Arabidopsis thaliana: one gene and its partner. The protein of the gene in region 1 purifies or fractionates together with the protein of each later gene. This does not show direct contact. Each region holds a gene or a part of one and is shown in the gene's direction. Other genes may lie near its edges. The genes, in order: PGY2 and SUMO3.

The links.
Region 2: the proteins of PGY2 (region 1) and SUMO3 purify together in Arabidopsis thaliana (affinity purification with western blotting, with the first as the bait; one study listed by BioGRID). This does not show direct contact.

Annotation. Positions count from the first base shown.
Region 1 is NC_003070.9:12,021,368-12,025,447, forward strand, and holds PGY2 (Ribosomal protein L6 family), read left to right. Parts: upstream 1-1,857; 5' UTR 1,858-1,992; coding exon 1,993-2,367; intron 2,368-2,532; coding exon 2,533-2,655; intron 2,656-3,048; coding exon 3,049-3,135; 3' UTR 3,136-3,416; downstream 3,417-4,080.
Region 2 is NC_003076.8:22,384,424-22,387,918, reverse strand, and holds SUMO3 (small ubiquitin-like modifier 3), read left to right. Parts: upstream 1-1,713; 5' UTR 1,714-1,847; coding exon 1,848-1,922; intron 1,923-2,099; coding exon 2,100-2,249; coding exon of another isoform or gene 2,250-2,340; coding exon 2,341-2,451; 3' UTR 2,452-2,662; downstream 2,663-3,495. Other genes in the region: SUMO2 (small ubiquitin-like modifier 2), read left to right, coding at 3,147-3,218. UniProt on the Arabidopsis thaliana protein: Ubiquitin-like protein which can be covalently attached to target lysines as a monomer. Does not seem to be involved in protein degradation and may function as an antagonist of ubiquitin in the degradation process.

The DNA of each region.
Region 1 (4,080 bases):
TTGCTTTAACTTATGAATAAATCTATATTTTGAAAAATAAAAAGCTTGTGTACTTCTCGAATGTTTATGGTCTTAATATTGCTGCTTGCTTCGTTTTGGTCGCATGATTTTAAATTTACTAGGTTATAAATCCACGCGTAATTTTTTTATCAAAATTGATTCTTAACTCTATTGATTTTTATAATTTTTAATATGGTATATTTAAAATAAAATGTTTACTTTATTAGAAATTTTAATACTATAATCAATAATATATACTTTTCACCAAATTATATTACGCGTGGGTTCAAAACCAAGTGTTAATTACTTTGAAAAGCAAATTTTATATAATAAAATTTTAAAGTATGATATACTCATAACTTGATTTTTTTTTTTTTGCCGGCTACTCATAACTTGATTTGGTGCTATTTATGACAATTTCTCTAATTTATTCGACTTTTGTTATTTTGTTCTTTAAAGCAATGATAAATTATTATTTGGTCTGGCCCGGAACGGACTGCTTTCAAATGGACCGGGCCGCCAGCCCACATACTAACTCATTTAGATATAAGTTTCTTCTAACCTCTCTTTCTCTAAAAAGCTGTCGGCGAGTGGGAGAAGCGCAGAGAGAGCAAACAAAGAGCAAACTTGAATTATTTCTCCGTTGGCTTTGTTTGAAAATATATAAAAAAAACAATTAACGGGCCATGAGCTTGTTGCAAATAATCTATTTATTTTTCATTTTAGGATTTTTGTTTCTCGACACGAGTTGAGCTGATTTTGATAAGCCCACATGACATTGTTTTAGAGTTTCTGTTTTTCTTCTTTATACTTTTTAAAATGCGGCCAGTGAATAATTTTCTAAGGTTTATGCTTTAATACAAGTTAAATAATTTTTTTGTAAATAATTTTTTGTTGGAATGTCAAATTTATTCAACAAAAGAAAATGATTACAAAGAGTTTTGAAAGGTAAAAAATGGAGAAAATAAACGTGAAAAGTAGAAACAAAAATGATGAAATTGGCGCCACTTACATCATTATAGAAAGTTCAAAAGGCCTAATTCTGACACAATATTATTAACGGGTCATGGGCTTAATGACAATAATAAACTTTTCTCACTTTTGAGTTTTAATAAGCCCACATTTGCTTTAGGGTTTCTGCGTCTCTATCTTTAAATTGCTTCCGACGATTCATAAACTAGGGTTTCTGCCTTTAGCCGTCGTGAGAGAGAGAGCAAATCGAAGAGAGAGCAAAGAGAAAATAATATGTTGTTTGCGTTTGGTACGGTGACTCGATCTGTGGCTAATTCAGTGGTGGTTTGCTACGGCTTTCTTTCGACAATGGTGTTTTCTTTCGACCTAAACTTGATAGACCGAACCAAACTGAACCAATTTTTATATATATTTACTCAATTAAATCCTAAACTCCTCTATTTGATCTGAACCCGATCAACCCGAATACATAAATATCTAATCTTATCCATCTGAAAGGATACTAAACTCTCTAATTCGAATTACCCGAATCCAGAAAAAGCCGAATAGCATGCATTCTATTGGTACTTGATTATATTAATTGGCATATATATGACCTGTTATTGCCAATAATATATTTTGGGTGTTTCCTGGGCTTCAGTTTTATTGGGCTAGGAATGGGTGTACTTTTAAACCCACTTCTGATTAGTCTCTTAGTAAAACCCACTTTTAAACCCACTTCTGACCCACTTCTGACGCCGTCATTTTTCTTGAGAAGGAGAGAGAGCACCACTTCCGTCATTCCAGCCCAATATTTTTAACGGGCCATGGGCTTATTGTAAATAATGTATTTTTCTCATTTTTGGTTTTCTTTATGGGCACGATTTTAGTGGGCTGAATTTTGATAAAGGCCCACATATGAAAGATATTTAGGGTTTTTTCTCTTGATACCTTTTAAAACGCCGTCGAGAAATCTCCCTCTAGGGTTTCTTTGATCAAACCAGAGAGCCGTCAGGGAGAGCAAAACAAAGATCGGAGAAGATGAAGACGATTCTTTCTTCCGAAACGATGGACATCCCCGACAGTGTTACCATCAAGGTTCACGCTAAAGTGATCGAAGTCGAAGGACCTCGCGGGAAGCTTGTTCGCGATTTCAAGCATCTCAACCTCGATTTCCAGCTGATCAAGGATCCAGAGACTGGAAAGAAGAAGCTTAAGATCGATTCGTGGTTTGGAACACGCAAAACCAGCGCCTCCATCAGAACCGCTCTTAGCCACGTCGATAACTTGATCTCCGGTGTTACCAGAGGTTTCCGTTACAAGATGAGGTTCGTGTACGCCCATTTTCCCATCAACGCCTCCATCGGCGGTGACGGAAAGTCTATCGAGATCCGTAACTTCCTTGGCGAGAAGAAGGTTTGTTTTATCTTCTTCATCTCTGATTTGATTCTCATAGATTCGTGTAGATCTCGGAATGAAATAGACTGACACTAGATTCAACTTTATGATTGGACGATGATGATTGATTTCTGAGTTTGCGAGCACTGAACTTACATAGAAATGTGTTTATTGGAATAATAGGTGAGGAAGGTAGAGATGTTGGATGGTGTAACCATTGTTCGATCTGAGAAGGTGAAGGATGAGATTGTTCTTGACGGTAACGACATCGAGCTTGTTTCAAGGTCATGCGCTTTGATCAACCAGGTACTCTCTCTAACTAGCTGGTATCAAAGAGATTTAGGTGTTATCTAGCCAAATTTGCATTTTCTTGGGACTAAAAGGTTGAGAGATTGTGTTAGATAGGTGACACGGTTCAGTTCTAGGAATCAGATTTTGCATAAATGAAGTGAAAATCGATTTGTATTATCTCTATAGGTCTCTAATAGACGATTAGATTACTCGCTAAGTAAACTTTGCCAATTTTGCCTATTGTTTGGCTTCTTAAGCTTTTCAGCATTGTGTATGAAAGTGTTTTTTTGGTTGATGTTTGAGTTTAGGATCACATTTTTGCATAGTGAAATCAAAAGGATCATTTCAGTGATTGATTTACGTGTTCAAGTCTTTGTTGTAATCTTTTATGTTGTGATTGTTGTGCAGAAATGTCACGTGAAGAAGAAGGATATCAGGAAGTTTCTTGATGGTATCTATGTTAGCGAGAAAAGCAAGATCGTAGAGGAAGAATGAATGCCCATATCATCGTCTTAGCTCCTATTTCTTGTCTTTTGAATGTTAGTTTCGTTTTATGGACCAAATCCACCGGTGTTGCAAAACTCTGGCTATCCCTTGTTCCCTTTTTGTGTTCGAGATTTTATTTACTTATGCACAAGTTTTGGAGACGAGCTATCATTTTCACCTTTGCTTAATTAAATCATATCGTGTGAATTTGGGATTGTTCTGGATTTGGCATTGTGGGTTGTGCATTCAAAATTGATACTTCAGTCACTAAACTAAAATCAATTTCTCGCAACGCTGTGATCAAACATAAAGATAACTTGAGACAACGAAAGCGAGCTTTGCAATTTGAGAAAAGCTACGAGACGCCCTGATGGTCAGGTGATCAATATTAGTGCAGAATGATTCTGCTTTCCAGAAGTCCTCTTTCAACCATCGTTTATCATATTGGAAGCACCGAGGATTCATGAGACAACTTATAATTTAATCATGAAATGTGATTTCGACATCAGAAAGGACTAGTATGTTAACATTGTGCTCAGTGGCGGATCAACCATGTTTCCAGGAATTGCTGATCGGATAACCAAAGAGATCACGGGGTTGGCACCTAGCAGCAGGTGGTTGCACCACCTGAGAAGAATATTGGAGGATCCATCTTGGCTTCTCTTAGCACATTCCAACAGGTACCGTAAACTCTTTAACCGTGTGATGATGATTCAAGTTATTCACACAAAGTACTGATGTTTGGTGTGGATATCAAAGGCAGATTACGAGGGATCAGGGCCAGCCATTTTTCACAGAAAATGCTTTTAGACAACCTCTTTATGTAGCTTGTTGATTGATGAAATTGGCTTAAGATTAATATTTTTAGTCTTTAGTCGTGGCTTGTTTTAAGTTTTGTTCCTTTATGTTTCTTCATATGTTTGAGAAAAGCGGAGATGGGTGTGTAACTTTATC
Region 2 (3,495 bases), on another chromosome or scaffold:
ATTTATATGAAATATTTGATAGTAACATTGACTGATTCACAAGTTGGTTGTAACTAATATTTTGACTTAGCAAATTGGGCTAATGAACGCGTTTAGATGTGCGGAGGAAAAATGAACATTTTAAGGTTAGCTAAGCTAAGCAAACACCTCAAATTATTTTCCAGTAGTATAATAATGAATTAATCTAAATGGTCCATCTCCGTCCATGGATAAACAAAAAACGATATTTGTAGAGTTTAGTTGTCCTATACAAATAGAACTCTATCGCTAAGCAATTAATGTTTCCTTCTGATGTAAAACCAAGAATTTTGGATGACATTTACGGCTAGTTTTACTAATTACTTGGTGAAAGATGCTTTTTAGATTTATTTGAATTTAATAATTGTGGCCGAATATTAACGGTTATGTACATATAGGCATAGAATGTTAATACACATACGGTAATTACTACTACAGTTTGAAATATAGTTTTATCTTCGGTGATTGAGACCTGAATAATGAAACTAATTAAGAGTAGACATCATAATAACTCCACTATCAAAAGAGAAAATAATAGACATCATCATTTGGTAATATTGTATTTGATGATTATATACATGTTTTTGTTTGTGTATCAACTTGTCCACTAGGTGGTAATCTTATATGTATCAATGTATGCTGGTTTACATATACTTTAGTATAACAATTTAATTTTTGGATTATGAAAGTAACAATAATTTAATAATGTATCTATGGAGGTTGTCGACATCGTACGGTATGTTTCGACAAGGCCCTTAAGTCTTAAGTCGGTACATGAAATTGAAAATGAAACACAATGACAAGTCCATATGAAAATTGAAAACATTATAATATCCAGAGAGGTGTGTCACCTTCAGATTGACTTATTTGTAACTATTATGAGTTTATGACGAATTTCTAAATATAAACGTTAACTAATATATTCGTATAAATATAACATCATCATTATTAGTTTCTTATCAACCAAGAGAAAGAATTCAATGTGGTAGGTCACTTGGATGCTGTCCAACAAATTGAGTTTTAGATAGGAATGTTAGCATTGTCCCTGATCTTTACGTTACGATACAATGCCTATTAGTTTATCAAATTAAAAACTGGAAATATATTATGTCGGGCCGAAATAGAAGTCGTCACGAAACATAGACTAACCATTTACACACTATGACGGTCGACGTACATTATTTTTTAATATTAAATAATAACCATGCATGCATTAGAAGTTTAGAACATCAAGAAATATATAAATTTTATAAAGAGAGCTTGCCCTAAACTTTGTCAAATAATATCATAATTTTGAGTTTCTTTTTAAAATACCACAAAAGTTATGTTTGCTAAGATTTTTAAAAGTTTCTAACTGTTGTATTTTTTTTGAAATTATTAGATTACCGTGGTAATTAGATTTTATTTTTAAATATGATTTATAAATTTTCTAAAAACTATTTGGTCGGTTCACGAAAATGGGTTCCAACTTTATATACTGTGTAGAAGTAATTAAGCCCACATATGAGCATATTTGATCTTAAACCAGCCCAATAGCCCATTACGAATGCTTGATTAAACGGCAGTGTTTTCATGTACGAATTCCACGCTCTCCTAGCCGTCGGATGATAAGCTACAATGATTATGAGCCGTTCGATATATCACCACAAGAATCTGTAGATCAAAAGTGAGTGCGATCAAGAACTGGTTTCAGTCACTTTTTTGACAAGTCTCTCTTTCTCAAAAGTCAACCCCTTATTTTGCAATACTGTATTGTGAATCTCTCTATCAGGCCTTCGTATTTCTCACAGACTGGAGTTTTTGTTTCATAAAATCTGATAAAAGGAAAGATGTCTAACCCTCAAGATGACAAGCCCATCGACCAAGAACAAGAAGCTCATGTCATTCTCAAGGTCAAGAGCCAGGTTTTTTCACTGTGTTCCCTCTTTAATCTCCTTGAAATTTTCTGTCGTTGCTGCTTGGTTGATAATACTATATATACAGTTTCTTGATATGAAAACTTTGATGATACTCTTTTCCAAACTGTGATGATCTAAAGTATAGAGTGATTAAAATCTTTTTTCTTGATTGGTGATACTAAGGATGGAGACGAAGTCTTATTTAAGAACAAAAAAAGCGCTCCACTTAAAAAGCTCATGTATGTTTACTGCGACCGCCGAGGTTTGAAATTAGACGCATTCGCTTTCATTTTTAATGGAGCTCGTATAGGTGGCCTGGAGACTCCAGATGAGGCAAATCACTCTCTTTTTCATTTCCCTTTTACAATTTATATGTTTGTCAAAAGTGTATCATTTACTAAACCAAGATTCTCCAATTTTAAAGCTTGATATGGAAGATGGAGATGTGATAGATGCGTGCCGGGCGATGAGTGGTGGTCTACGAGCAAATCAGCGTCAGTGGTCTTATATGCTTTTCGATCATAATGGGCTTTAATTAGGAATAATTTGGCTGGCTTTGTGATATTTGACTACTTTCTTCAAGCAAAATTACTTGAAGTTTAAATCATGGTCGGTTATCGTGTGTGTAAATGACTCATGAGTGATTGGATCTTATGAATTATGATATTAATGGTATCTGGTTACGGATTTTTAGAATCTTTGTACTTTGTTAATTTTACAACCGTGAATAAACAACTCATCAAAACCTCTAAAACTCAAGTTGGCTAATTGTAAAAGGTCACACAACAAAACCATATTAAACAATTGAAATCTTTACTGGTTTGATCAAAATCAAACGGTTCACTTTGAACATCTTCACTTTTCCCAACTCAAACAAATCTACTCGAAAGCTGAGATTTTCACATTTTAAAATTCTTGGGTAGACACAGAAGTAACCAGCCCATTTGAGCCCATTAAGAATGCTAAAACGACATCATTTTAAGTTAGAGATTATACTCACTCACAGCCGTCGAATGATATAGATCAATGATTATGAACCGTTAGATAAACAAGAATCCGATGCGACCAAAGATAGTGGTTTCAGTCTTTTTTATTCTCTGCCGAGTCTCTCTCTCTCCCTCAAACCCTCAAGTTCTGCAATCCCGCGAATCTCTCTTAGGGCTTCGCTTATATCGCAGATCGAAGTTCTTGTTTCCAATCGCCGACCGTATAATCTGATAATAAAGTAAGATGTCTGCTACTCCGGAAGAAGACAAGAAGCCTGACCAAGGAGCTCACATCAATCTCAAAGTCAAGGGACAGGTTTTCTATTTCTCACTCACTCTCTCGACTTCTATTTCTTGCATTGTGTAACGATTCGTTGTCTGGTTAAAGTTTTGAGTGTGATTAGGATCTTTATAGCTTCTGATTGCTTCAATTCTAGGGTTTTGAGTTTGTCTGCGTTATTCCCAATTTCTATTCTGGTTAGCTTGTCTATGAGGTAGTGATTATTGTGTAAGCGTGACTTTTAATTGGCTTAAATTTGAAGCAAACAAAAGTTATCTGAGAATTGTGAATTATGTTTTGACTCATAATTGTA